Linked DNA regions of Notamacropus eugenii. The protein of the gene in region 2 purifies or fractionates together with the protein of the main gene of each other region. This does not show direct contact. Links are inferred from orthologs where the notes say so. Each region holds a gene or a part of one and is shown on either strand. Other genes may lie near its edges. The genes, in order: GPN3, POLR2B and CTDP1.

Evidence for each region.
Region 1: the proteins of POLR2B (region 2) and GPN3 purify together in Homo sapiens (co-immunoprecipitation; 3 studies listed by BioGRID and IntAct, counting the BioPlex papers as one, with this or other methods). This does not show direct contact. The link is inferred for Notamacropus eugenii from reciprocal best matches to the Homo sapiens genes POLR2B and GPN3.
Region 3: the proteins of POLR2B (region 2) and CTDP1 purify together in Homo sapiens (affinity purification with mass spectrometry; 3 studies listed by BioGRID and IntAct, with this or other methods). This does not show direct contact. The link is inferred for Notamacropus eugenii from reciprocal best matches to the Homo sapiens genes POLR2B and CTDP1.

Annotation. Positions count from the first base shown.
Region 1 is NC_092875.1:35,915,660-35,925,761, forward strand, and holds the start of GPN3 (GPN-loop GTPase 3), read left to right. Parts: upstream 1-5,658; 5' UTR 5,659-5,847; coding exon 5,848-5,895; intron 5,896-10,102. Other genes in the region: protein FAM216A, read right to left, coding at 4,852-4,934. UniProt on the Homo sapiens protein: Small GTPase required for proper localization of RNA polymerase II (RNAPII). May act at an RNAP assembly step prior to nuclear import.
Region 2 is NC_092877.1:108,357,473-108,368,090, reverse strand, and holds the start of POLR2B (DNA-directed RNA polymerase II subunit RPB2), read right to left. Parts: upstream 4,043-10,618; 5' UTR 3,798-4,042; coding exon 3,779-3,797; intron 1-3,778. Other genes in the region: NOA1 (nitric oxide-associated protein 1), read left to right, coding at 4,421-5,723, 6,312-6,476, 7,599-7,801. UniProt on the Homo sapiens protein: Catalytic core component of RNA polymerase II (Pol II), a DNA-dependent RNA polymerase which synthesizes mRNA precursors and many functional non-coding RNAs using the four ribonucleoside triphosphates as substrates.
Region 3 is NC_092875.1:201,293,568-201,303,998, forward strand, and holds the start of CTDP1 (RNA polymerase II subunit A C-terminal domain phosphatase), read right to left. Parts: upstream 4,484-10,431; 5' UTR 4,353-4,483; coding exon 3,868-4,352; intron 1-3,867. UniProt on the Homo sapiens protein: Processively dephosphorylates 'Ser-2' and 'Ser-5' of the heptad repeats YSPTSPS in the C-terminal domain of the largest RNA polymerase II subunit. This promotes the activity of RNA polymerase II.

The DNA.
Region 1 (10,102 bases), on a different chromosome or scaffold from region 2:
GTCATGGTAATGGTAAAGGAAACACAGATATCCTGGGTTATATTTTCAACTGACACTTTGTCACCTCTCTTATCTTACTGTATTTATAACCTATTCAATTCAGAAAATTCCTTTCTCATACTATGGTTAAACATATATGGAGATCATACATCTGAGGGACATAGACATCCTGAGTTGGGATTGCTGTAAAACGTATAAATGTTATCATGTTATCATGATAATGTGTAAAACGTTATCATTCTTTTATCAGTCAGTCAGAATTAAAAACCTGGCTCCATGAATACATGAATTAACTAGTTTTAAGGGAACAGACAATATGAATGTATAGGACCTAGCTCGTTTGTCTCTTTTAACCAAACTTTCAGGTTGACAACACATATCTATATATAGATAGATATGGATATATAGATATAGATACACATATTGTCTCCCTCCCCCAATGATAGAATAGAAGCTCCTTAGGGGCAGGACTTATATGTCATTTTTGTCTTGGTATCCCCAGACTCTATCATTAGTGCCTGGCACACAGAAGGCACTCACTACATGCTTACTGAATAGATGTTGTTGATTCCCTGAAAGATTTACAAACACAACAGGTTTGTGGGGCAGACAGTTTAAGTATCAGTGCCATTAAAGATATAAAAGGAGCTTAAGCGCAGAGAGTTCACACAGACCCAAAGCCGGGGAAGTATCCAAGGCCTTTCCCCCTTCGCCCTTCCCCCTCCATCACAGCTGCTGCTTAAGGCAAAGGCTGCTGTGGTGTCCGAGTCTTTGTGACCCCTTTTGGGAGTTTCTTGCAGAGATACTGGAGTGGTTTGTCATTTCCTTCTCCAGTTCATTTGAGGCAAACAGGGTGAAGTGACTTGTCCAAGGTCACACAGCTAGTATGTGTCTGAGGCTGGGTTTGAACTCAGGAAGATGGGTCATTTTTTAACAATTAGTCATTTAGGTGTAGGATAGACTTTTGATTATTTTGTAAGGATGCTCTGAACAGCAACTCTAGCATTAGGGTGATTCAGAAATGACAAGTTAAAGTAGTTAGGCAATTTTTTATTTTATTAGGGAAGGCACTATTAAGTGGGAGTATTACTAGAAAGTGATTTTTGACCTTAAAGAAAACATAATATGCTTTTCTAAAAATTAACAGTTGAGTTAGGACAGCTGGGAACTTTTATACCGATTTCCTCCTTGAAAAATTAGCTGAGTGCCTAAGACAACGATCTCCTACCATCATTCCCACCCTGTTCTCTCTAAATTCAATCAGTACTTAGTGAGCTCCTTCACCCCACCCTTCTACCCCTCAAGAATGTGAAATAAGGCATTTTTTGGAGATTTAAAAAATGCAGAGAATGGAAAAAAATGTCTGTCACAACTATGGTTAGAGAAAGTATTCATAACCAAACAAGGTAAACAGAAATTACATAAGACAAAATGGATAATTTTGATTGTATAAGGTTTGAAAGCTTTTGCACAAACAATACAACTTAAATAAGAAAAATTTAATGTGAAAAAATGTCTTTGCACCAACCATCTCTGATTTTATACCCAAGATGTATAGGGGAGGCATGTAAATATATAAGACCTTGTATGTGAATTTTATATATGTAATTATACATATGTACTGTTATAAGTCATAAAAACACATATATAATAATTCTTTAATATATAAATTGTCAATGGATATGAATGGTTATTAGAAGAAGAAATGAAAACTGTTAACAACTATATGAAAAAATGCTCCAAATTAAATGTTAAAGAAATTAAAATTCAAACATGGACCAGAGTCTCACTGCTGACTCTCTAGACTCCCTTATCTATGGTGCTAGAACATCCTTCTCACCTTGGCACGATTTCCCACCAGCTCTACTGCCTTCTGGTTCCCTGGAGGATCCCACTCTGCTCCTGTGGCCCTGTCCTCAGTTGGGTGGTTTTAACTGAAGACAGGTACTCTCTTTCTGCTTCTATATTCCCAGCACTTAGCCCAGTGCCTAGCATACAGGACACACTTAGGAGATGTTTGTGCACGTACTGGCCAATTTCACTTCCTATTCATCATAATAGATACAGGTAGAAAATACTGGAGGAAGTATGAGATGACAGGTCCAGGTGGAGCTGTACATTGACCTAGCTGTTCTGGAAAACAACTTGGAATTAGGCAAAAAGAAAACAAAAAGTCACCAAGCTGTTCAGAATGTTTGACCTAGCAATCTTCTATTTGTTATGTATCTCAAAGAAAATCAGAGAAAGGAAAGTCCCAAAAGAAATATTGCTGTGCTAATATTCACAGCAGTATTTTCAGAGTCTCAATACAGATCTAAAGAAAGTAAAACCCATTGGTAAATGGCTGAACAAATTGTGGCACGAGAATGTAACAGACTATTACTGCCCCATATATAATGACAAATATGGGGATTGAGAGAGATATGACTTCCTTATTAGAACTGTATAAGTTGATACAGAGTGAAGAAAGCAGAACCAGGAGAACAGTATGCCTAATGACTACAAAAAAGGAAATGAACAAACGCCAAGACATCAAAATTCGTATTAAATGCAACAACCAATCGTGGTTCCAGAAGATGAATGATGAAACTAACACATTTCTCTCTTCTGAGCAAAGAAGATGTTGTGTAAAGGGTAAAAAACAGTCACTTTGTGAGTTGGGTTTGTGGAATTGCTCTTATTTTAAGGGAGAAGGTATCAATAAAATTTTAAAAAGAAAAAAATACCTATAGACCTTGGAATGTGGAATTTTCTGATGTTACAAATGTTTGCATTTACTTCTAAGTTATATTAAAAATGTATTCCTTTACATTCATAGGTTCAGGCAACTATGGAGAATGTTCCACGGAGGGTCCGAATGGAGGAGGGACCACCAGATTCTACTGTTTGTGGATAACACTGTCCTAATTATATCAAAGCCTAGAACTGTAAAATAAAATGAAAAGACAAAGAAAAACAAAACAACCTCCCCACAAAGATCCATAATAACTCAGAAGAGGTCAACATAATAATCTATAGAGGAAAAAACAAACAGATGAAAAATGGCTATCGTCCAAACTGTGACATGCAGTTAGATGGCGTAGAGATGGATTGTGAGTTGGGCCCGGAGGTTCAAGCTTCTACTATAGTGCATTAAAAGGGGAATTGTTCTTTTATTATTATTATTTGTATCCCAGTGCTTGACATATTAAATCCTTGTTGAATCACTAGATTGAATTACATTTTGAAAATTCCAGTTTCTTAAGGATCCCAAGCTGTTCTCTCACACACACATATACATGCTCTCTCTCTCTCTCTCTCTCTCTCTCTCTCTCTCTCTCTCTCTCTCTCTCTCTCTCACACACACACACACACACACACACACACACACACACACACATACCCCTTTCTTTTTAGAAACACAAATGTTCTCTCTGAACCAAAGAGTGGTGAATCTTGGAACACAACAACCTCTAATGAATCATAGTGGTTGATGACTCCAAGGACAATGGAGAAGACAAAGAGTAGGCTAAGTCAGTTACATTAGGATATATGCGTAAGAAGTGACATAAAGAATATACTCTAGGAAAAATATAATCAGAAAAGGAAATGGGCTAGCTATGTCCTGAGAGTGAGGCATGGACAACTCCGAATTGCCAGCAAAGAAAAGTATATTTTTAAAAAGGCCTAGAGGAAGACCTCCTGTCCAGTGGATGGATCCTCAGTCAGTCAATAAGCATCCATTAAGCAAATCTATGGAAGAGTATAGGATGTAGAACAATCGGTTGATGGGATGTTATCTTTAACAACAGAAATAATACTAATGTCACTGAGGTATCAGCTCTAATTAAGCACTGACATATTATACAGTTTCACTACAGCTGTACCTAGGGACCTGAAGGGCAACCTACTCTAACCTTCTCCGTGACTATGTGAGCCTATGAATATAAAGGAATAAATTTCAATGTGATTTTAAACAAATGCAAATACATTTAACACCCGAAAATTCCACATTCCATCACCCAAAGGTGTTTTTTATTTTTTATTTGTAGGTATTTTTCTTCTTCTTAAAGTTCTATATTTGTCTTTTGTTTTTAATCTCAGTGACTTCTTTGTAAGGATGAGGACCCACCCCCCCTCCCCAGAAGTCTTGTCTGTCCCTACACTGAGCTACCTGGAGAGCTTAAAGGCATAAACCTTCGGTTTGCCAGGGGAAAGATCCCAGGGGATGGAATCAGGAGTCAACTAAAAGTAGCCCTTTCCCTCATTCAACAAACTTATTAAATGAATGAATAAAATATAATTAAAAGCTATTTCAAAAAGAATTTATTTTTTATTATCTCATCTCTCACACAAGGATTTTCCTCATTTTCAAGAAGGCAAAAGAAATACACAATCTGATGTCACACAGCCCACCCCAGGGACCAGAACCCAGGCGTCTCGCCTCCCAGGCTATTGTCTTGAGCGCCTGAGGTTTTCTATGCCGCTCTTATAGAAGCTGACCATCCCTGCCTATTTTTCTGTGGAAAATGTAGCCTGGTGACCCAGCGCCCCCTCGGGGTAGAAGCCTCCACCGTGGCACCCACCCAGGTGAGTCACTGCACCAAACGCCTGTGCGGCTGCTGGGAACCTTTCCCCAGCCCCAGGCCCCCGCCCCCGTCTGACTGTGAGTCAGTCCTTTCCCCATCCTCCCCAGCAGCAAGGGATGCTCGTCCACCCTCTGCAAGAATCCTCTCCTCCCTCTTCGCCCGTGGCTTATCCATGCGTGGCCAACGGCCCTCTACACCACGCCCCGCCCGGGGCCGAGGAGAGGGACACGGACTGGCCCCCGTCCCATCTCTCGGTGCAAGCCTGCGGGGCCCCGAGCCTTACCCGCTGCTCCCGGCTGCAGCGGACAGCTCGGACCCTCCGCCATCCTCCTTCACCCAGAGAGGCGTCTGCATCTGGCCCGGCATCTTCTCCGAGGGGGCCTCAAAGGCGACGTCCAGTGCAGGGAGGGAGGGAGGGAAACTTCCCCCTCTCCTCCTCCGGGTTTCAGGGTGCGTGCGTCAGGCCGGGGAGGTGTTGGGCGGACAGGGCGCTGAGCCTCCACCCCGACCACCTGCTTGTCTGGATCCTTCCCTCCCTCCCACTCTTCCTGGGGCTCCCGCTGGCTGGGCTCTGGAGGGGCAGGGGGGACGCTGGTCAGGCGCGGAACGCTGGCGAGGGGCACGTTGGCATCTTTCGGGGCTGAGGACGCCCCGTAAACGGGAGGAGCGCGCGCATCCTAAGCAGGAGATGACGCCCGGTGCATACTGAGCACGGACGTGTGGGCACGCCTCTTTACGGGATCCCTTAGCTGGAAATATGATAATTATTACTACTATTATAATTGTATTTTAAAACATTTAAAAACCTCCCAGCTGAGCTCTCTGTTCAGAACATCACCCCAAATAGCAATGCCCAGGATCTGCCGGAAGCCTGGCTAGGCGGTGGTTCCGCCGCAGCCCCAGGCAGGGATGCGCTCCCGCCCCTTCTGCAGGTGGATGGATGGATGGGTTGGTACAGAGTCAAGCTTTGTGCCTGGATCCATCCTCGTCCATTCTGCGCCTGCGTGCCTGGCGAGCCGCTAGGCAAACCCAAATTGACCTCAGCGTCGTTTCTTACTCTTTAGGAAGCATGGCCCTCTTGAAGACCCATAGCAGGAGGCGGGGTTGTGTATGCTAGAATGGGGAGGGGAGAGAGGGCCGGCCCTCGGTTTCGATTGGCCCTCCCGCCCTCCGGAAGTCGAGTCGCGGACTGTGCGCCCTCAGAAGTTGCCGGGACGCTCTTGGCGTGTTTCTTCTTCTTAGGCTCCGTCGGTAGCCGCTGGGGCCCACGAGGGTCAGTATGCCTCGGTACGCGCAGCTGGTGATGGGCCCCGCCGGCAGCGGAAAGGTCAGTGTTGGCAGGAGGCTGTTGGAAACGGGGTGGAAACTCTAAGATCCCCTGGAATGCTGGGAGCCTTAAGATGGGGACACAAGCCACACAGAAGCTACAGCCGCCCCCAGACTCGAGGGGAGGAGGGGATGCCTGGGAATCTAGCCACCTAGCTGCCCCTCAGTGTAGCTAATCCTTTGATGGAGGTAGAGGCATCAAACCATAATACCCAACCTGTTGTTTTGACCAGGACTGGTTCAGAAACTGCCCTCTTAGTGTTCTAGGGAACGCAAATATAAACATTAGAGAACCCGAGATAATATTAAACTCAGTGAGCTCTTATTAGACCCCTGCTGTATGCTAGGCACTTAGTAGGGGCAGGGTGGCACAGCCGACCTCGAGGGTGGGAGGACGTGGATTCGAGTCCTTGCTTTCTGGCCCAGGCTGGTTGTGGAATCCTGGGCCAGTCGCCTCTCTACCGAGGTGGAGGGCACGACCGCCCTGGGAGTTCCAGCCCCACGCTATCCCTAACCAATTCAATAATCGATCCATCGATCGACTTTTATTAAGTTCCAAGTATATGACAGGCACTGTGCTAAGCACCAGAATGCTAGAGACCCTGGAGATATCAAAGAAGGCTGGTTCGCTAACATCAATACGAGATAGATACTCTCCTAGCTGTGTGACCATGGGCAGATCACTTCCCTTCTGTTGTAAAATTGGGGTCCAAATAGCTACCTAGACCATATGGTTGTTGTGAGGCTTAAGTGAGATGAAACCATAGATGGAATCTTAAAACACCCAGGGAAGGTCAGTTACTGCCCTGTACTAGGGGGGCCTTCCCGTTGGATGAAACCTACCTGGGGTTTGTTTTTGGTGGGGACAGACAGCCCTGGAGACGCTGAAGGCACTAACCAGTTTCTACTACCTAAAGATTTTTCATGCTAAGGTCAGAGCAACAGAAATTTAGGGCTGGAAGTGACCTTAGTCCAACCCTTTCGTTTTTCGGAAAATGTTGAGACCAGGACAATTATAAGTGACTTGTCCACACCAAGAGGCAGAATTTGAACCTAGGGTCTTCTGACTTCAATTCCAGTTCTCTCTTTTGCTGCACTGCTCTCTTGTTGGAAGGACCTCAGTTCCAAACCTGGCTTTGCTACTTACAGGCTCCCAACCTAGGAGTCATTCTGGATTCCCATTCTCTCATCCCCCATATCCCCCATATCCAAGCTATTACCATAGTTTGCTGGTTTTACCATTGCAGCATCTCTTGTCCATTTCACCTTGGTAGCATCTCTAGTTGATTTCACCTTTGCAACAGCTCTGGTCAGTTTCAGCTTTATAGCATCTCTTGTCCATTTCACCTTTGCAATATTTCTGATTGACTTCACCTTTGCAGCATCTTTCAAATATACCTCCTTTTCTCTTCTGACCCTGCCATCCCCCTAATGCAGGCTCTCATCACCTCATATCTGGACTATGGCAATAGCTGCTTTGGGGGTCTGCCTGCTTCCAATCTATCCTCCACTTAGCTGTCAAAGTGATCTTCCTAAAGTACAGGTCTTGTATGTCACCACTTGCCCTGGTACAGGCTTTCATCACCTCACACATGGACTGTTGCAGTAGCTACTGGTGGGTCTGCCTACCTAAGGCCTCTCTTCATTCCAATTCATCCTCCATTTTGCCACCACTAAAGTGATTTTCCTAAAATTCAGATCTGATCATGTCATCTTCCTATTCAATAAATTCTTGAGAGTTCCTTTTGCCTCCAGGATCACAGTATCCTCTGCTTGGCCTTCAAAACCTACTCCCTAATTATATTATGAACAGCTGGTCCAGCCTATGAATGAATCCAAAAAAGTCTGGACCTTTATGCTCACACTTTTGCCAGAGAGCCCTGTCAGACCAGACAGCATCCTGTCCAAGTTTTGTGCTATCATCTTGTGTAATTCATTGGGGAAAAAGAAAAAGAAAGAGAAAGTTGCAGATAATCTAAAATATTTTCTGCTAAACGAAACACCTGTGGCATCAAAGTTTATCTCATTAAAGAACAGAAAGTTGATTTGTTGCAGCTTTCCAGACATACAATTCACAGATGTTTCTAGGTGAAGAGGTATTGTGTTCAGAATATCAGAATCTGAGTTAAGCAAATGGCCTTCACCAACATGAATGAATGTGCAACCCAAGATCAAATAATAGGATGAGCCAGGTGACCAATAGTAGCGCTGAACTTAGAGCTTTCTACTAGAATATGGCAGAGCCTTTCCCCTGTCCAACAAAATAAAACACAGTAAAATTTTAAAAATTCATTGCAGATAAAGGGAATGAACTAGAGGTGGAAGCCCTTCTTCCACTCTCAGCATCTTAGGAGAATTCACCTATAGAAACACTTGTGGAAATAGATGTAGACGAATAGTGTGGGAATTAATCAGAATGGGAAAGTTAAAATTACCCGTGTTACTGACCTCAGTGTAGATGGGTGTTCATCTTTCGTTGCCAAAGAAGACCATGCCATCAGAGAAATAATGACATAACTTGCACTTGACTTTGTTTCGAGTGAGGGAGGGCTGTGCAGGTCACCAGTCTCACTTTCTCCTCCCAAGTTATCTGGATCCAGTGACCAGATATTCATCAGGATGAGGCAGTTGGGGTTAAATGACTTGCCCAAGGTCACACAGCTAGTGAGTGTCAAGCGTCTGAAGTGAGATTTGAACTCAGGTCCTCCTGACTCCTGCACTGGTGCTCTATCCACTGCACCACCTAGCTGCCCCTCAGTGTAGCTAATCCTTTGATGGAGGTAGAGGCATCAAAGCATAATACCCAACCTGTTGTTTTGAGTAATTTTAGTTTTACTGCTGATTTACCATTCTCCAGATAGTAATGTTGAAATGGAACAGGTAAACTGCTATATTTATGCTCATCATTTAATATTTAGTGATTGACAATTCTATGTACTCTACAGCTTTCTGTGCATCTATTATCTGCCGAGATACCTTGTTTATTTGTAACAATTACTTTGAAGGAACTTCATGCATTTCCATTCTTCAGTTGTAAAAAGTTAAAGAAATTTTATATCTGAAGAAATCATCCATCATTAAGAACTAGCTTAAGACCACATTCTCAATGGGGAGCTTCCTGAGAAGTAGACCTAAAGTCAGCATCATAGGGCATTTGAGTTGATCAGAATTTGCTAGACTGTTTGTTAAGTGACACCTGGACAAAGGGAGTTTAAGAGCCGGTCCTGGAGTGGAAACAGTGTTAACACTGAAGGTTCATTTGTGAGCCTGACAACTGCTTTAGAAGATGTCCATAAATGAGAGCTATTCTCTTCCACTAAACGTTGCTAAAATATTGAATTAGCTACTCCATTGCAACTTAGGTGGAATCTTTTCATCCTAACTTGGATCCATTGAAGAGGATATCACAACTAATACTTCTGAGCAAGCTGAGGCTTTGACATCAGATTTAATAATAGTTCTCAATTAAGATAGTCAAAACCTATTGACAGAAGTGCCTAAAATCAGGAAATCCTATATCCTGAAGTTACAGTCTTCCTTCACAGACTAGAGAAGCTCTGTTCTTTCACTGTTTTTCTTCCTACAGACAGTGACTGGAGTCTTACTCTTTGGTGTGCTTCTGGGGCTTTTCACTGAGTTTGTGGAAGTATAAACCTTGTTTTTTTTCTTATTTTTGTTAGCAAAGAACATCATAGTTCCTAAACAACAGTAGAAAAGATGAACCTGACTTGTCCTCATTCCTTTGACATGTAAATGTGAAGTATGTGTATACAGGCATATGTGCATATATGAATATATATATGTAAAATCTACATAGAGATAAAACATGTTGAAATAGAATTTTCAAAAGCTTTTTAAAAAATTTTGGCCAAAGTAATTCATGATCTCTGGGTGATTTCATTGCTGAGCCCCCTCATATCTTACTAGTTTCTTACACCTTACTTTCCAACATGGCCTCTTGGTTGCAGTGACACTGGCCTCCTGACTTTTCCTCAGATAAGACACTCCATTCTCTCCTTCAGTTCCAGCCAAAATCTCATCTTTCTGCAAAAAACCTTTCTCAAGCCTAATTTCTCCCTCTAATAATTACTTCCTGCTTATCCTGTAAATAGCTTATTTGTACATTTTTGTTTTCCTGTTGTCTCCCCAGTTAGACTGTAAGCTCCTGGAGGGTAGGGACTGTCTTTTCCGTCTTTTTGTATCTCCAA
Region 2 (10,618 bases):
TCCTGAATGAAAAGTTCTCATGCAAAACATTATTTTCTACAGTACACCTTTAATGTTACACAATTCAGATTACCTTTTCCATTACATCTTTAAGGTCATACAACTAATGAAAAAGTGTAGAAAACTTTAAGGCTCTATTGTGTTACTGATTTAAAAGAAAATTTTGCCTAAGTTATACCAAAGGTAGCACAAAGGCCCTCCTCAGAAAGGTGTCTCCCATGTGTATATTAAATCACACATGAATATACGATCAATGTAACTAAGGATAACATTACTCAATAAGCCACTAAATGGCAAAATCAAATGAAGTACTGAAAATCAAGAAAATCAAACTGATTCACTTTTGTAATTGATTTCATTCTGTATCACTACCAACATTTTGTGTAACTACCTAAGCCACATTTCATTTGAGTCTGAGTTAAGTTTGGAAGTTCAGCTTTCCTATAAATCACTCACTATCTCTGAGTTAAGGTTAGAAGTTCAGCTTTCCTGCTAATCAAATCACTGTTCTATTCTTATGTCAAGGATAATAATTATCTTTGAAGGATGAAGGTGGATGCCAGGGAGTCTGGTCTATTACCTCTATAGCACTGGCTGTCCTTCAAAAAAGTCTGGTTTGTTATCACTGTGAAACCAATTAGCCATACAAGTGGACACCACCAATGAACTTTCCTTAGCAACGCTATGAAAGGAAGGGTTTTTGCATTCCAAATTTACAGCATTTAACATTGTTTTCACTATGATGTTGCCAGTCTTCTAGTTTTTGGAGGCTCCTCCTTTTGTCCATAAAAATTTTATCAGCCCTCGTTCAAGGTCTTAGCTAACTGAAAAGGTTGAGCCTTTGTTTACTGGAAAATTCACGCTTTGCTAATAAGTTGAGTGTGCTTGGTGCTTTGTGGCTCAGTTTACCTTAATTTTAATCAAGAAAGTATAACATAAGGAGACATGTTCGCCTAACATGCTCAAAAGTATCACGAAAGATGTCTTGCAGAGTGAAAATATAAAGATTTCATGTTAATGACAACGTTATCCCAGAGGTGTGAGGAGGAATGGTGATTAGGATAGGGAGAAAGACTAGTAAAAAAAAAAACCAAAAACTAGCTTTAAATTTCAAATCAATAATACTAGGGCTTCTGGGAAGGGTATGTAAAATGACTCCCTAATCAATCAATTCACAATTCCTGTGACTCCCTTCCATGGACATCAGTCCCCTATATGTGTTATCATCCCCTATTAGAATATAAGACCAGTAACTACAGGGTCTTTCTCAGATTTTTGAATTTATATTCACAGATCTTGCCACAGTATTAGCACACATTAAACACTAAATGCTTTTTCATTAATCAAAGTTTTGTGGTAAGATGGCCTTGCTATCTATCCTGCTGCTACATCTTCCGAACTCCTTGGTGACTCTAATCTGACCTGCTGGAGCAGCCTAAGCACCCCAGGCTTTGCCATCATCCATCTGCTGATGCACCTTTGGGACTTCTTGGCCCTTCCAATCACCCCAAAGCTGAATTTGCAGATGTGTTATCTACCCCAAATAAAGTTTAAATTCCTTGAGAACAGGGTCTGCCTCATTATTTCTATCTATATCCCCAATTCTTAAGATATAACAATTCCTTTTTTCTTCTTTCATGCATTTGCAAAATACCAAGAAGGGAGAATGAGGGTAGGTAAGCACAATGGTAACAAAGCTAAATGATGAGATCAGATGAGAAAGAACTGGAAAAGAAATTAATACCTATCAACCGAGGAATGGCTAAAAAATTACACACATGAAGAGAACAAAATGACTGAACCTTTTATAAAAGACAAAATACAAATTCAGAGGATGGGAAGACATGTAAAATGGCGTTGTGTGCATCAAGCAGAACCAGGAAAACAAAGTACAGCACTGTGAAAATACAAAAAGGACAAAAAAACCTCAAGTGAATGTTGTTCAAGAATGATGTTCCTAAAAATATTTGAGCAATTTTCTCTGATAATGGTCTCATTTCTCAAATATATAGAGAACTGAATCAAATCTACAAGAACATAAGTCATTCCCCATTTGATAAATGGTCGAAGGATATGAACAGGCAGTTTTCAGATGAAGAAATCAAAGCTATCGATAGTCACACAAAAGAAGTGCTCTAAATCACTGTTAACTAGAGAAAGGCAAATTAAAACTCTTGAGATACTGGTTCACATCTATCAGATTAGTTAATATGACAGAAAAGGAAAATGACAAAATGCTGGTAGGGAGGTCAGAAAACTGGGACACCGCTGCACTGCTGGTGGCATCGTGAACTTTTTCAAACATTCTGGAAAGCAATTTGGAACTATGCCCAAAGGGTCATAAAACTGTGCATATCTTTTGACCCAGTAATAGATCTACTAGGTTTGCATACCAAAGATGTTATTTTTAATAATGGAAAAGGACATATATGTACAAAAACACTTACAGCAGCTCTTTTTATGGTGGCAAAGAATTGGAAATCGAGGGGTTACCCCACAACTGAGGAATGGTTGAACAAGCTGTGGTATATGAATGTGATGGAATATTGTACTGCAATAAACGATGTGCAGAATGCTTTCAGAAAAACTTGGACTTATGAGAACTGATGGAAAGCGGATGAAGTGAGCAAAACCAGAACTCTGTACACAGTAACAGCAATACTGAATGATGATAAATCGTGAATGGCTTAGCTATTCCCATCAATTTAAAAATCCAAGACAATTCTGAAGGACTTTGGATGAAAAATCCTATCCACCTCCAGAGAAAGAACTGAGTCTGAAAGCAGACTGAAATACATTATTTTTTACTTTATTTTTTTGTGGGGAGGGGAGGTCTGTATTTTCTTTCATTACATAAATGTTATGAAAATGTTTTGCATTACTGTACATAACACATACATACATTTCAAACATAACCACATATAACACATAGAGGTTAAACCTATATAACCTATATCAAACTGCTTGCTGTCTTGGGGAGGGGAGAGGAGTGGGAGGGAGAGAATTTGAAACTCCAAATCTTAAAAACTAATGTTAAAAATTTTACATGTAATTGGGGGAAAATTTTTTTTTAAAACGCATGATGTTCCTAGTTCTGTAGACTTCTATCTGGAAGGAACGTTAGAATCCATCTTATCCTACCCCTTCATTTTACAGAAAAGGCAACTTAATATAGAAACGTGAGAAGACCCTAAAAAGAGGTGAAAAAATTCACCTATTTCCTTCAATTAGTGGGGAACTAGGGGTGGAGAATTCTGTCTATACAGTCAAACAAAGCGTTCGATCTGCTGAATCGCTTTTTAAAACCTGTTACAAGGAATGTCTCGCTGGGTAACGAAGGGATGGGACGATACCCAGGGACGAATGTAAAGTTAAAAAAAAAAAAGGAATTCATTAATAAAATTAAGATGACAACTAAAAACGCGAGGGAGGAGCAGACAGGTTAGGAAACCTTAGGCTGGGCTCTAGGGTAACGACACCTAAGGACCATCATTCAGGGACGAATGCAAAGTAAAACAAAGATGCATTAATAAAATCAAAGTGACCACTAAAGGCAAAACGGGAGGGTGCGTCACGTTAGGAGACACGAGGCTGGCCTCTCGCGTAACAGACCCACAAGCACCAGGACCGCCAGCTCTATTCACTAAGTATCATGGACCTCAGGGCTGCCCGGGCCTCAACGTTACAAGTGGCATCCTGGAGAAGGTGGGTAACTAAAAGAATACAAAACACCCCTCCTCGGCCCTGTCCGGGAGGAGCTCTTAACTGGGCCTCTTACCCTCGTCCGCGTCGTACATCTTGACAAATAATTCTCAATATTCCTCCCAAATTAAGGAACAGAAAAGAGCAGACGACGCAGCCACAGACCAGCAAACTCGAGAGAGCTTGAGTTTCCGGCGTTCCCGGCACTCTTTGCGGCTCGATCCAGCTCCTCAGCTCCGAAACCTTCCGGTTCCCGCTCCGACTTCCGCTCAGCCAGAGGTCGAGCGCGCCGCGTCCTGTGGTGGCGCTGAGCAGAGTGGGCGGGCCGTTTCGCCTTCCCACTGCGCATGCGGCCTGCGGAGGAGGCGGGGCTACGTAGGGGCTGGCTTGCGCGCGGGCTGGATTCGCGCCTCCAGCAACCTAGCGTGCTTTAGATGGAAAGAATGTATCTAGGTCTGCCGAGGTGTCTGGGGGCAGGAGGCCTAAAGCCGGGAGGAAAGTGACTTTAGGCCTGTTGCTTCAGCAGGAAGGAATGAGAGATTGAAATGCTAATGCTTAGGTGGCGATATTGTAAGCGCTTTGGGGACCTGAGGATAGAAGCGAAAAACCACGAATTTAACTTAACCTGGAACCTACATTGATCCATTTTACATGCGCTTTTATGAATTTTTTATTCTAATTTTTGCTTTTAATTTTATTAAATTTTACCCCTACGTTCATGGCCAGCCATGATTTTCAAACTGAAGAAAGGTTAATACGTGAGAGCGCCTTTTCCCCAGCGGAGGACGGAGGGGGGCGATCAGTCCCTCCCGAGCCACCGTACGGGGCGGTGTCGCGGCCACGTGCCCGCCCCGCCCCTCCCGGCGCCTCCGTCCCCATGCTTCCCGGGAGCTGCTCGTGCCGGCTGCTGCGCCTGTGGCGCCGAGGGGCCGCGCCTCTCTTCACGTGCCATGGCGCGCCCGGGTCGCGGCCCCCCGCGGGCCGGCCGGCCGCCTCCTCTGTCTTCTCCGCGGTGCGGCGGCAGCAGGACCAGGAAGCGAGAAGAGGAAGGGGGGTGCCGGCCGCGGGGACGATGGTGGACCCGAGCCGGCTGGAGGAGACCTTCGTGTTCCCGGAGTACGTCCCCGAGGCGGACCCCGACGTCGAGCCGTCCGTGTCGGCCGAACTGCGGCGGAGGCAGGAGGAGGAGGAGCGGGAGCAGCTGCTGCGGGACGAGCGGCGGCTGGCGCAGCAGCGGAAGAAGACGCGGGAGAAGGGGCTGCGCCCGGTGTTCGGGAGCCCCGACCCCGCGGTGCCGGCCAGCGGCGTGAGCTGCTCGGGCTGCGGGGCGGAGCTGCACTGCCAGGACCCCGCCGTGCCGGGCTACCTGCCCAGCGAGAAGTACCGCAGCCTGGAGGCGCGGGCCGAGGCGGGCGGGCTGGCCCGGGCCGTGTGTCAGCGCTGCTGGCTCCTGGTGCACCACCAGCGGGCCCTGCGGGTGCGCGTGAGCCGGGAGCGCTACCGAGAGCTGGTGCACGCCGCGCTGCGGCGCCCGGGGCCGGCCCTCGTGCTCTACGTGGTGGACGTGCTCGACCTGCCCGACCCCCTGCTGCCGGACCTGCCCGCACTGCTCGGGCCCAAGCAGCTGATCGTGCTGGGCAACAAGGTGGACCTGCTGCCCGCCGACGGCCCGGGCTACCTGCGGAGGCTCCGGGAGCGTCTGTGGGACGAATGCGCCCGAGCCGGCCTGCAGCCGGCGCCCAGGAAGGCGAAGAGGACGGGGGCCGGGGCTCCGGGGGCCGGGCCGGCCAGGCCGGGCTGTGTGGTCCAGGACGTGCTGCTTCTCAGCGCCAAGACGGGCTACGGGGTGGAGGAGATGATCTCGGCGCTGCAGCGCTCCTGGCGCTACCGGGGCGACGTCTACCTGGTGGGCTCCACCAACGCCGGCAAGTCCACGCTCTTCAACGCGCTCCTGCACTCGGACTACTGCATCGCCAAGGGCGCCGACGCCATCGACCGGGCCACCATCTCCCCCTGGCCGGGTGAGCCCCGGCGGGAAGCCTCCCGCACGCTCTGCCCCCCCGCTCGGCCTCCATGTCCTTGCTTTGTGTGTGTGCACGTTGTCTTCCCCGTCAGACTGAGCTCCCGGAGCGCGGACGCCGTCTCTTGCCTCTTTGTTACCCCTAGCTCCTAGCACGGTGCCTGACACGCAGCCTAAGCTTATTGAACGTTGGTTGAAGCGAATTGAAGCTTCCTCCCCACCCCCATCCCGCCCTTGCTGTCCAGGTGCTTCCTCGTCTGCCCACGAGGAGGTGTCCGGGACCATCCTGGTGAACTCCAGCTTTTCTCCGCTCAACCCCTTTTGGGTCCTGGGGTCCTTACTCCTCTTTAAGGTTTCTTGACTGGTTTCATGCATCCCCACGAGGCAAGACAGAGCCCATGTTTTCAGGGTCTTAATGTACCCTCCCTGTCTTCCCTAGCCAGTATGACGAATGCTTGGAGTCACCAAGCACTGGGAAAAGGGAAGACAGGCAGCTTTTTGTTTCTGTTTTTATTAAGACTGCACGAAAATACATTGCATTTTATTTTCTTCATCACAGTTAAAATTTACACGTGCTTTGATCTTTCAGGAACAACCTTAAATCTCCTGAAATTTCCTATTAGCAACCCTACTCCTTACAGAATGTTTGAAAGGAACAGGAGACTTAAAGAAGAAGCAGCTAAAAGTGAAGATGACCTTACTGAGCAAGAGCAGAAGCATCTTAGTCAGATGAAAAAGCAGGGTTATTTAGTCGGTGAGTACCCGAACAGACCGTGGACTAACCACCTTTCAGATCCTGTGCCCTGGAACATGAAATCAGAACCCAGGATGATCCGGACAACCTCTACCTATTCTGAGACCCAGTGCTGTAGTTAAAACTACTGTTTAAAAGCGCACCTGGGCAAGACATTCAGAAAAACAGGAGAATTTGTTTCTGGTTTCTTGAGGGGAGTGGGCGTGGCATAGTAGGGTTGTCAGTTGAATCAGTTGCCTTGCCAAGAAGTAAAAATTGTCATTTCCAGGTTGTGCCCAAATACTGACTCAGATTCCTTTTCCTGCTATCGGTGATGCTGCCAAGTTATGCTGAGAGCTGTTGTGTTTCTGATCCTTCATTGCTACTCAGTCTCAGTTTGAATTCTTATATATGCAACTGCACATAAAATATTAATGTTTATGCTGACTTCTCAATTCCTTTAACGCTTTCCTCTGCCACCTACTGACTCTGGATGTCCCTTCCAGCTCTAAATCTGTGATTCTATGCTAAATTCATTTATCATCCTGTAGTACTGATGCCATATGCTGCCAAACTCCTGCATAGTACTATTTTCTATCTAGAGCTAAAAAGGGATTTAGTCTGACCTCCTCATTTTACAGATGAAGAAAAATAGATCCAGGGAAGAGATTAAATGGCTTGCCCTAAAGTATCCACCTACCTGTCATTATTTCTGTGACTTAGTCCCTGTGTCTGTGTGTTCGTCCTTTGTTGCCGAAGAAGACCGTGCCATCAGAGAAATAATGACATGACTTGCACTTGACTTTGTTTTGAATGAAGGAGGGCTGTGCAGGTCACCAGCCTCACTTTTCCTCCAGAGCCATATGAATCCAGTGACCAGACATTCATCAGGATGACTGGAGATGACCCAGGATGAGGCAATTAGGGTTAAGTGACTTGCCCAAAGTCACAGCTAGTGAGTGTCAAGTGTCTGAGGTGAGATTTGAACTCAGGTCGTCCTGACACCTGCACTGGTGCTCAATCGGCTGCACCACCTAGCTGCCCCTTGTCCCTTTGTAGAAACTGAATGGAATGCACATGTATAAAAGGTAAAAATTCAAACATTTTAAAGATCAATAACTTCAAACTACTCTCTTGTTGTAGGAAGAGTTGGAAAAACATTCTGTTATTCAAAAAATGATGAACCTACTTTCGAGTTTGATGCTGATTCACTCGCATTTGACATGGAGAATGAGCCTCCGAGAATAATACACGATGCACCCACTATGCATGTTGAATTGACACCTCAAGAAGTGAAAGATGTTCACTGGTTTTATGATACCCCTGGAATTGTAAAAGAAAATTGCGTATGTATTTTGTTTCATTTAGAAGGGGTCAAAAACAGTGAGACTTCTGTCTAAGCTAGCAAAAATGAATTTGAGGGAAAATGTTGGGCAAAAAACCCTTACCTTTGGACTTAGTTCCACCAGGTATTATAGAATATGCAAATGTGGTTTTCTCCCCACAGGCAAGTAACTCTGAACCTGGAATTCCCAGTGAACATCTCACTTATACATTTAGGGGGATGGTGTGAGTCAAGGGGAGGATATATATTATATATACATATTATATATTATGTTTTCCCTTTTTGGAAGGAAAACTAGGCAGAAATAGCGCTAAATAATATCAAATATTTGATGGTGTTGGATGTCAGCATAAAATAAAAAAGTAATCATTGTATATCGATATGGGAGGGGGTGTGTAGAGAGAATTGGTAGAAAGACTATAGCAACTACTATGTGTCAAACACTGGTAAACCCCTTAAAAAATATTCTTTCATTTGATCCTCACAACAAGGTGGTAAGGTAGGTACTGTTATTATCCCCATTTTACAGTTGAAGAAACTAAGTTAAAGGTTAAGAGACTTGCTGAGAGTCACTTGGCTAGTAAATGTCTGAGGACAGATTTGAACTCTTCCTGACTCCGAAGCCCAGTGTTCTATCTACCAAGCCACCTAGCTGTATAGATTTTCATTATGTACCAGATAGTGATGTAAATCATCCTTTTATCTGTGAATCCATAACTTGCGCCATGAAGTTAGTTGGTAATGGCAGAATGAATTTATTTTTGTTTATCAAGTCTGTCAAGATGTTTGACTTTAAGTCATGGAATTCTAAAGCTGAAAGGGGCTTTTAGAGGTAAGAGAGTCTCAGCTTCAGAAACTCAGTGGATTATCTCTCCCTACTTTCACTTTGACACTGCCCTTCAACTCTCCCTTCCCTACTTCCCACCTCCCCTCCCCTATCAGTCTAGGAAACATTTCCTGGGAAATGACCATCATGCGAGCTAGCTTTTAAAATGTTAAATTTGTGGGGGAGGGGGGGTTAATGATGATGCATTCTTTCAGTTATTAAAGGACTACTCTGTTTAGAGCACTCTACTAGGTAGTGTAATTGCTACTAGAATAGCTTATGTTGAGCATTTTAAGGATTACAAAGTGCTTTGTTCACCATTTTGTGAGGTCATTTCAAACCTGCACTATAAAATAGGATCAGATTTTACGTGATTTACATTTTGGACTCACCAGTGGTTTACAAACTGTGTTCTGAGAACCACCATCCTCGTAGTTATATCAAAGGAAAGACTATTAAAAAAAAATTTTTTTTAATACCTAGACTTAAATCAGAAGTCTTGTCAATCTAGTACTTCAAAACTTTCAACCTAACTAACTTGTAAGAGAAAGAGGTAGCTCTGTACTGATGAAAGATGCTAAAAGCATGGGAATTATTCTCTTATGTTCCAAATATAATAGATCTCTTAAAAGTTAGAACCATCAGAAAATTTAGATTTATTTTTAGTGTTCAGCATTTACTTTTATAAGATTTTGAATCCTAAATTTCCTCTTTTCTTCCTTCCCCCATCCCCAAGATGGTATGCAATTTGATATAGGCTATACATGTATAATCATACTAAACATATTTCCACATTAGTCATTTTGTGAAACAAGAATCAGAACAAAAGGGAAAACTACAAGAAAGAAGAAGAAAATAATATGATTCGATACGCATTCAGACTCCATAGTTATTTGGATGTAGATAGCACTTAACATCATGAGCCCTTTGGAGGTGTCTTGAATTCTCGCATTGATAAGAAGACATAAGTCTATCAAAGTTATTCTTAATACAATATGACTGTTATTGTGTACAGTGTTCCCTTATTTCTGCTCGTTTTACTCAGCATCAGTTCATGCAAGTCTTTCTGGGTTTTTCTGAAATCCGCCTGCTCACCATTTCTTAGGGAAGACTAGTATTCCATTATATACATATACCACAGTTGTTCAGCTATTCCCCAGCTGATGGGCAGCCCCTCAATTTCCAACTCTTGGCCACCACAAAAAGAGCTGCTATAAATATATTTGTACATGTGAGTACTTTTCCCTTTTTTTTTTTAGTAATATTTTTGGAATATGGACCTAGTAGTGGTATTACAGGATCAAAGGGTATGCACAGTTTGATTGCCTTTTGGACATAGTTCCAAATTGTTCTCCAGAATGATTGGATCAGTTCACAACTGCCAACAGTGCATTAGCATTCCAGTTTCCAACATCTCCAATACCTGTATAGGTGTGATGTGGTACCCAGAGTTGTTTTAATTTGCATTTCTCTAATCAGTAGTGATTCAGGGCATTTTTTCATGTAACTGTAAATAACTTAAATTTCTTCATCTGAAAACTGCCTGGTAATATCCTTTGACCATTTATCAATTGGAGAATGACTTGTATTCTTATAAATTTGACTCAGTTCTCTATATATTTTAGAAATGAGACCTTCATCAGAGATACTGGCTATAAAAGTTGTTTCCCACCTTTCTTTTTCCCTTCTAATCTTAGTTACATTGGCTTTGTTTCTGCAAAAACTTTTCAATTTAATGTACTCAGAGTCATCCATTTTGCATTTCATAATATTCTCTATTTCTTGTTTGGTCATAAATTCTTTCCTTCTCCATAGGTGTGACAAGTAAACTATTCCTTGTTCTCATATTTTGCTATCATTATATCTAAATCATGTACCTATTTTGACCTTCTCTTGATATACATTGTAAGATGTTGGAATATGCCTAGTTTCTATCATACTATTTTCCAGTTTTCCTAGCAATTTTTGTTAAATAGTTCTTATCCCAGAAGC
Region 3 (10,431 bases), on a different chromosome or scaffold from region 2:
TTGACATTGTTTTGCCATATCCCAGTGCTAAACAGGACTTTCTTGGCTTTGGAGAATGTACACTTTCCTAAGTTGTCCTCCCAACTCAATAACTACAGTTTCCTTCACTGGCTTCTCATCCAGTCTTATCTGCCATGTGTCTATGAAGCAAAGCACTGCACTGGTAGAGAGGCTGGGGAAGGGTGTTGCTTGCTACTACTGTCCACAATAATCTTCTCATTCTCCCTAGACAATCTCATTCACTCACTAAGGGTTTTAAGGGATTCCTCCAATGCAGAGGATTCCCACATCTATTATCTCCAATCTTGCCCCTCTTCTAAGCACTGGACCTGAATATTCAGCCTATGGTATATCTCCCCCAGGATAGTCACCTCAACTCAAAACAACCAAAACTATTCTTATCATTTCTCCTAAACTTGCTTTTCCTTCTGACTTGCCTACTTCTCTTAATACTACTACCAGTCATAGGTCATCAACGTTCTAATAAACAACTTTTCAAAACTCTCTGATTCTTTCCTCTCTACTTCACATACCCAACTCACCATCAAGTCTAGTTAATTATACCTCTACAAGCTCTCTCATATCTATCTTCCTCCACCACCCTAATAACTATTGCCAGGACTATTGCAACAGCCTCTAAATAGGTCTTACCACTCTCTGTTTTCCAAAATGTCATTCAAGCAGCTGACAGACTAATCTTCCTTATGTGGTTATCTGGTCATGTCAGTATGTCGTATGCATTTCTCCAGGCAATCCCTCTCCCTATTACCTACTGAGCAAATTTCAAACTCCTCTAGCATCCAAACACCTCCAGGTCATCCACCACTGAGCTGCCAAAGACATCTTCATAAAGCAAAAGTCTGACCATGTCACTACCCTATTCAATAAACTCCACTGGTTCCCTGTTGCCTTCAGAGTCATAAATAGAAAATACTGTGAACTTCATAAACCTTTCTAGTTTCGTTATACCTTACTCTCCCAGTTTTCTCCATAATCTAGTTACTGCGGCTCTAGCCTCCTTGCTATGGATCACATATAAGATTCCATCTCTATTCCTCATTAGTTTTCACACATTCCTGGGCATCCTGGGCCTGGAATGCTCTCTTCTCCAGGATTCCATCGTTTCTTCCCATCTCACCTAAAATCCCATGATCTGCAATAAGGCTTTCCCTGTCCTCCTTAATGTTTATGACTTCCCTCTGGGATTATCTCCAATTAATCGTGTTTATATCTTGTTTGTAAAGAGCTGTTTGCAGGTTGTTCCTCCAATTAGTCTGTGAGCTCAGGTCCTGGCACACAGTAGGAGCTTAATAAATGTTTTCTGACTTATCTTGATTCCACAAGTGGAACCAATCTTCCCAGTCTTATTTCATATTACTTCCCTCCAAATACTCTATGATTAGGTCAAACCAGACTATTCTCTATACTCAAAAGGTATCCTGTACCTTTGCTTTTAGTATTCCTATGCCTGAAAAAGACCTCCCTTTCACCTCTTTGCCTATTTAGCCCAACTAAAATGTAAAAACTTTGGATCTTCACATTGATTTGCCATTCTTGTAATAGCAAATACTCACTGTATATTATATTTATTTGTGCATATTCTATCCTCCATTATTCTGAACTCCACAAAGGTTGGAAATGTCTTATCTAATATTCATATCTTGAATTGAAAGAATAAAAATATACCAAAAAAACTGACATTCCTGTTAAATGGCAGAAAAAAGAAGTGTCAACACAGACAGCGTGGTGTAATGTAAAAAGCACTGTTATCTGATGTTGAAACCTCTTCTCTTACATGTCCTTAGTTGTATGATCTTGGGCAAGTCACTTAACTTTCTTGGGTCAAAAGTTTCCTCATCTGTAAAAAGAAGGGACTAGACTTTGAGCTCCCTTCCAGGTCTAGATCTATGATGCCCTATTATTACACACATATAAGGAACAATAACAACAAACACTATGTAAGCAACCTTTAAGCTAAACCTAAGTTATCTTGGGTTGTAATTTCTTTAGTGTAGGGAACTGAAAGTGAAAGAAATCTCTCTACCAAAACAAATCAGCTACAGATCTGTAATTTGTAGAATTAGAGGGCTGTCTAGCATATTGAGGTTAATTGGCTAGGGCGGAAGGAGGAGAACAAAATGACCACACAGCCAGCAAATGTCAGAGCTGGAATTTGAACACAGTTCTGATTGACACTCAAGATAGCTTTCTACCCACCACACCATGCTTCCTCTAAGATCTTGTAAAAAGGTTAATTAATGATATTTTGACCAATTGCAAATAAGTGTACTATATAAAAAACTGACCACTCCTCCCACCACAAAATAAATAACATAATATACTTTAAACCCGGGGAATGAAATTAATTACAGGCCAATTTTCCTTAGAGCCACTGAACAGCAAAAAATAACCACAGTTCAAGAAATTGATGAAAGTAATCTACAATATGTTAGAAAAAAAAGTAGACATTTCTGCAGTGGAGTCTACCAGTTAAGTGAAATGACTATTTTTTTCACCTTTAATTATCTTATGATGACCCAATGACTCATTTTGGTCAAGTATATGATCACAGAGTTTGAAACAAACTAAGTACTGAGACAGGGTAGAAGTTTGGCTAGATTCAAAAGCTTGCTGTAATTTTGTACTCTAGAGAGCTCAGTCTCATACGTTCTTCTTAGCTATGATGCACAATTATATCATATTTTTATCACTTAGTTTCACAAGATTAGAGCGCAGGAAAAAAAAAAGAGACAGACAACACCAAATACCAGATCAATCTGAACAAGTTAGTATATTCAAACAATACCCAGCTATAGTTCAGATGTAGACATGTATACATATGTGTATATATTTAAACAGATGTATACATTATATACGTGTTTACTTCAGCATCATCATTTCCTGTTTTAATCTTAAAGTCAAACAAAATTTTAAAAAAGCAAGTGGAATAAATGTTTGGTTTTCTTAGAGACTGACTCCAACTCCCCCCAAATTTTTTGCACTGCAAAAATAACAACAACCACAGCTTTCTGGCTACATAAGAAAAAAAGACTTGTTAAAGAAGAAAATAAAATCAGATTTGGTTTAAAAAAAACCTTTTGTTTGTCCAGCTAGTAAGCAGCGATTTAAAGGAGAGGAGTCCAAAGTTGCAGAAAGTAGGATGGGAGTAGACCAAATAATCCATATTTCAAGGTGAAAGAGCTTTTCATTCCCTAAAGAAATGTCAATTGATAACTTAAGGCATCTCTGTCAGAGGTGTGCCTCAGAGACCTCACCGCCAAAAAGAACCCTGTAGCTATTCCTGAGAGGAGAAGCCTTATTTTAATCACATTATTTTCCCCTTTAAGCCCCCCTGTAGGGCAGCGGGTGGGGCGGGGAAAGAGCGAGGAAGAGAGAAGCTGAGATGCAGGAGAGCGCTGGGAACTCGCACCTGCCTCCTCCTCCTCGCACGCTCTCGGGTCGGTAAGGGGGTATACTATAATGCTCCAGGCGCCGAGCCCCCTCCCCCCGCCAGGTATCTGGGGTCGGGGGAGGGGGGGAAGGCAGGAGGAGGAGCAGAAGGACAGGGGCGAGCAGGACGGTCCCAGGACAGTCTACTTAGAGGCGACGGAAGTTCTCGGTTTTGAATAGTTTCTCCGCCTCCGCCCTCCAGGAAAAAAGAACGAAAACCCTTGGGCTGGGGCACAAGCCAGCTCCCTCCGTCTTCTTCCTCCTCCTCGGCAGGTCGGCCCGGTGCCCAGCGATGCCTGAGGCTTACGGGTGGGGAGGGGAGAGTCCCTGAGCCGGCCCCTATGGGGGGGAGGGAGGGGTGAAAAGGTCGGGGGAGGGGGAAACCGAGGGAGCGGAGTAACCCCCGCGGCCGCTTACCCCGGGGGGACCACCTGTCCCCGCTGCGCACACAGCTCCAGCACCACTCCGGCCCGCTCCGACTTCACCCTGCGCTCCGCCGCCCGCTGGGTCCGGCCGCAGCCGCCGGCCTCCGGGCAAGGCGAGGGCTCCCCGCGCTGGTTCCCGCACGGGTGGGGGCTGCCCTCGCCGCCGCCGCCCCCTTTCCCCTCTCCTTCCCCGGCTCTCCGGCGCGCACTGCAAGCCGGCAGCCCGCCCGCCTCGCCGCCGGCGGGAGGCACGATGGGGAGACACACAGCCAGCACCGTGCCGATCTGCACCGCTGTGCCGGCCGCCACCTTCCACTCCAGCAGCCTCAGCGGCCTGGGGCCCGGGCAGCGGATCTCCGTCACGGCCGCCGCCAGCGCCGCGGGGCCCTCGGCAGAGCGGGCCGGGGCTGGCCCCTTGGCGGTGGGGGCAGCTGCAGAGTCTCCGACGCCGCCGCTGGGGTCCGCCCGCGCCTCCATCCCCCTCCGGGCCGTGCGTCCGCCGGGCCCTCTCCCCTGCTCCAGCGCCGCCGCCTCTAGTGCCCGGGGGCCGGGGGCAGCACGGCGCGCGGGGCGGGTCGCTATGGCAACGCGCTTGCCGCCGGCTCGAGACCGGGAAGCGAACGGAGGAAGGCTAGCCCTCCCCCAAAGGGGGAGAGGAAAACAGCGACTTCAAGGGGAGGGAGGCGGAGTGGAAGGAGAGGTTAGAAAGGTGTGAGGAAAAAAGTAGTAACTGTTCCTTTAGGAGGGGGTTGGGGGGGAGGGAGGATGGAACACGGAGAGGAAAGGCAAAGTCGTACGCGTTTGCGTATTCAGGGCCCGGCTTCCATTTAAAGCCACAGTAACGCGGAAATCCCAGCGTCCCGGATGTGGGGCAGGGGCGGAGGTGGTTATTTCAGCTCTTCCCGCCCTCTGCTCGGCTAGTCACCTCGCCGCCAGTTCCCCCGGTCTATGACGACTTCCTGGAGAACGTAATGATCTCATGGAGGGGAGAGGGCGTGGTCAAAGGGGCGGCTTCTCACGTGCTTCCCTCAGACCGCGTGTTTGTCTGTGGGCGGGCGGCCTGCGTGTAAACACACGTACGCTCACACGCACACGGGAGGGAGGGCCACGGAGTCCCGAGACCCTGGGGAGAGGGAGTCCGCGTGAGCAACTGGTACCGGAAACGTCCGAGAAATAACCCTCACCGGGCACAAAACAGCGGAAGCGGTTGTACCAAAACCCTCGTGGTTATCCGCTTCATGTCTGAGCGCATGAGGACTACGAATCCCAGCATGCAACTGTCCCCCAGTGGTGTCTGTGGAAGCCGGGCTGGCGGACTACAGATCCTTGTTGAGTCTCCTTCTCGCAGTTGCATGCTGGGCCTTGTAGTCTCGTGGGGGAACGGGACCTCCCTACAAAAGCGGAGCAAGGAGAGTCCTTTGCGCTTGCGTATTCAAATACACTGGAAAATTTGTGGAAAGCCCTCCCACGGAAAGACATTGTAAAAGCATATACGGTCCCTTGTTATTCTTGATCTCTTATCGAAAGCTGCCTGGGAGTTAAACCAGAAATGGACTTTAAAACTTCAGGTTTGCGTTGGGAGGAATATCATGTTGTATGTGCCATTTTACTTGTCCCCAACTTAGGACCTTGCTAGGGAACTTCACTCAACCCTGATTCTAATGGGGCTATTGCCTAGACACTTAAACCTCTCCTTCCTCGGCCAAAAAGGTTGTACCATAGTTTCAGGAATTATTTACACTCTTACCCCTTCTGTTTTAGACCATTGGCGACTCCTTCTGTTCGTGGATCCACCCTTATCACAAAATAATGGGAAGCAGCCTCCTACTGAGTTCAGAAGCACGGGGGAGGGCCTAAAGACAACCAAATGTCCAATTTCAGTTGGGGGAAATGAATTAAAACTGCTAGGAACCAGGGCGCTGTGCTGGGGGCTAAGGGCGAAAACGCAAAGGAAACAGTCTGCCTTCTGTATGCTCAATCAGCCTGAAAACTTAAAGTCCATCCTGGCCGCGTCCGGTCGGAGCAAAATGCCTGGGTGGAGTTTTTTGGCAAACCTTCTGTTTTAGGCATTCTCAGGCCCTCCAGATCCTTTACTAAGTCGCTGTAGTGTCGGTTAGATCACTGTTAGTGATTTCTCTCTTTGAGTTAAAATGAGAACACGAGTTAGAAAGCACTTTCTGCACTCAGTCTAGTTCAAATGGCTAACAGCTAGGTGTAAGAGGTAGCACCTTAGTGAGAATTCCTTTATCCCTTGGCCTGGGGGAGGGAAGAAGCCAGGACATCTAGAGGGAGGGGGTATTGCTTTAAAGAAAAGTGCTGCAGAACAAGCTTTCCCCTGTTACAGTGTTGCTGGCACATGGCCCCTGAAACATTGTCGCCAGCCAAAGGCTCCTTCCCTGCCCTTCCCTACGCGTCTGCTCTCTGCATCACGAAAGGCAGAGGTGTCAAACTCGCCGGCCACGTGTGCCCAGCAAAGCTCTCGAGTGTTGGCGCGAACCAGCTTAAAACGTAACAAGTCAATGTTTAACCAAACGAATCAAAATACAGCATAAGTAAGGTCAGTTTGTGGTTTTGTCAATCAACATGCGGCCCCGCGGGGACCCGTTTTATTGGATTCTGACACCACAGATGTAAGGCACAGTTTTAAAATGTTCTCCCTTTGCTGCCCCTGCCCTCACACCTCTCCCTTTAGCGGAGAAGCTAGAAAAGAAAGCCCCTACCGCCTGGCATTTAGGCATGCCAGTTTAGCGACTCCCCATTCTTGGGACACCCAAACAAAAGTGAGTTTTCAGTACCTCCAGAGGGCCCTCTTGCAAGGGGCTCTTCTCATCGCAGAATGCAGGAGACACCCTAGACTGCCAACTGCCAGCCACAACAGCCACCCCTGGGCTGCCTGGGGCTGTGGAACCTTCTAGGGTTCTTCTGGCCTTGATGTTCCAGTCCCACCTCTTGCTCTAAAAATGTCCCCCCTGCCGCACCTGACCCAGCCGAAACAACTGCTGGTCCTGGCCCCTAAGGAGCTTGAAGTCAAGGCGTGGGAGACAAATCCGAAACAAAAAGTTAAGGGGTGTGAGGTGGAACGGAGATGGAGAGCATGGGGTGTCTTCAAGCAAGTATTAAGGATACCTCAGAATTAGACACTGTTTCTCAACTGTGGACCAGACAGACTCATGAAATATTTTTACCTGGTAAACAAAATTTTTACAACCAAAGGTTTTTGCTCCGTGAAATTGATAAACTTTAAAAACCTATTTCTTTTACTTACTGTTTCCACCAGCTCTGGTTTTATCCTCCCCCTGCAGTTCTTAAACTGCAGTTAATGAACTTCATATGTGTATGTCTACACACACACATATACATACACACACATATACATGGATACACACATGTGTGCATTATGTAGGTTACATATATGCTTTTGTATGTATATAAACACACATGTATAGGTATATTAATAACTAAATTTCAATGTAATTGGCTTCCTTTATAATGCCATATATTTTATTTTAAAATATTCTGAAGAGTCCAAAGGTTTCAGAAGATTGCTAAAGGGTCTATGACACAAAAAGAGGCTAAGAACCCCTTTTCCTCCCCACTTCCAGTCAGTGAGAACCATCCACACTAAGTCACAAGTAAAGAATATTGATATTTTAGCATTCTACAAGAGAGCAGCATACCTTGGTTTGGGAAACAATGAAACAGCCTCTTCTCCAAAAATCTTCCGGAAAGTTAGTGATTGTCAGCTATAAGGCCCTAAAAGCCAAGAGGCCTTTGGTACTTTGTTCTTGGGAATCAACACCTTGCTCCAAGTGTCTGTGCGTAGTGAAGAAACATTCTTGCTGTCCTCACTACCATAAAAGCTTGTTGATTCAACCTTTATGACTGTGAACCATTATTTAGGAACTGGTGGGGAAATCAGGCCCATTGTTTTCACATCCTCAATAAAGTAGGGAAAGCCAGTATTACTGGTAGCTTTGTGAAGTGTCAGACTCGAAAAGGGCACTTAATTATCTTTATAACCTAGACTCTACCCCAAATTAAAATCTGCTCAAATTTATAGAAAATAAGCCATAAATTGAATCTTGATGATATCTTAATGCCTTCTTGGAGCCTGCCAAGTTTCATCAAATCTTAAATTACTTATAAGTGTATCCTTGAACAGGAAGACAAAAATAGAAAAGGCTAAGCAATAAGGTTAAAATGCAGGCAAATGTCCACCATTTTATAAATGAGGAAACTGAGCATCAGGAAATTTGTGACTTGTCCGAGGTGATATGGTTAGCAAAGGACAGAGGTAAGATTTGGGTTCTTCTGGCATGAAGAAACAGGGGCCAAGGAAGGTAATGTATTCACTATAAACTAGTGGGTGAATCAGAACATTCAATTAAGACATTTTTTAAACACCTACTATATGCCAGGCTCTGTCCTGGGTTCTGGAGAAATAGAGAGAAAAATGAAATAGTCCCTCAAGTAACTCACTTTCTACTGGAGGAAAACATCCACTTATGTAAGTAAATACAAATTAACATGCTGGGTAGACCCAGAAATATTGGTGGATGGCTGGATGGGATGTGCTGGAAGAACTAATTGTTAAATTTTCAGTGTTAGCATTTACCCTGTTAGATACCAGTAAACCTTAAAAACCAGCACTTGATATATTGTTTTGTTGATTGTCTAGAGGGGAGAGAGTGATGGAGAAAATGTAGACTGGCCTTAAAATGTATTAACTTGCTTTGGACAGCTTGTTGTTAAAAAAAAATTACCAGAACACCACTGAATGTGAAGTATGGTCTGGGCTCAGCTAGATATAGTAAAGTCATGAGTTTTCACCCACTCACCCACCAACTGGAACACCTCAGGCCCACCCAGTTCAGAATATTAAAATGATGTGGATAGATGGTGATACCCTTAATAAAAATAGGAAAGGGAGGGTTGGGAGAGGGGGAGGGGATGAGTTCTGTTTTGGACATATTGAGGTTAAGATGTTGATGGTATCCATTTGAAAATATCTATTAGATAACTGGTCATGCAGGATTGTTGCTCAAGAGAAAGACCAGGACTGGTTATATAGATCTGGAAAATCGTCTGTAGAGATCTGATCATTTACTCCAAGGAAAAAAGAAAGGAAGGAAGGAAGGAAGGAAGGAAGATGGGAAGGAAGGAAAGAGGGAAGGGAGGAAGAAGGGAAGGAAGGAAGAAATTACTAAGTTCTTTTTACTTTAAATATTTCTCCCCCTATTGCCTCTAGATACTCTGTTTGGCTTTGAAAGTCCTTAATTTCCTGGCCCCTTCCTATCTTTTCAGTCTTCTTATACCTTATTTCTCCCCCTCTACACACGGACTTTGCAATCCAATGACACCGTCCTCCTTGCTGTTTCTAGCACATGGGATACCATCTCCCATCTCTATGTATTTTCACTGGTTGTCCCCCTTTGTAATATTCTCCCTACTTTTTTCTGCCTCCTGGCTTCCTTCAAGTCTTGGCTAAAATACCACTTTCCAGAAGAAACCTTTCCTAGGTCTCCTTAATCATAGTGTTTTTCTTCTGAGATTAGCTCCAATTTATCCTGTATATATCTTATTTATATATTTGCACATTTGCATGTTGCCTCCCCCATTGCAGTATGAGTACTTTGAAGGCAGGGATTTGATTTTTACTATTGGCTAAGCATTTCATTAAGCACTAGGGATACAATTAGAAAAATTGAGATGGTATCAGCTTTCAAGGAGCTTGTACTAAGGGAGCAACAAAGTCCAGGGGTCTTTAGATTATATAAATAGATTATATAAGTAGATCAGATGACAGTGCTAAAGGACTCAAAAACATAGAGGAAGAGTAGATGGTAAGACCCAGTGATGTCCCATATCATCTAAAGGAATAGAGCTGTTCACTTCACTCTCAAGGGAGAATGGGTCACCCAGTGGTGACAGGTCTTCCCTCTGCCTGGATGGATTTTGGGATGGACACAGGGTTTGGGGGAGGAGCCAACAGGGGAAAGGCAAGGGTGGTAGTAGTGGATCTTCCTTGCCCTGAGTTCCTGTGTGGGATCTGAGAGATAGGTTGGAAAGAAAGAAAAGGAGACGAGAGAAGGCAAGAGAAGATCAAACAAGAATGGAGAAGTTAAATCCCAGGACAGAGCTTTAGAGAGTTTTCCAGCAGCAGGGAATTGAGGATGGATTATGTTTCAGCAAAGAGCACTGAGAAAGAGCAGAGAGGTGGAAGGAGAATAAAGGAAAAAAAATCATAACCCAGGGAAAAGAGAGTGTCTAGGATGAGAGGTTGCTTAGTAGTGTCACATATACAGAGAGGTCAAGAAGGTTGAGTTCTGAGGAAAGGCCATTGGATTACATGAGTATCCCCAGAACCTTGCAGAGTGCCTTGGCTCACTAATATTTAATAAATTCTTATTAGCAGTCATTTATTTCCTCCCATCCTATCCTTGTCTTCAATATCTCTAAATAAGCTCCTTCTCGGCAACCTACAATAAATATGCTGAGGTCTTCCGTTATTTGAAGAATAAACCACTTAATTCTACCATCCCTTTAAGGTCCCTTC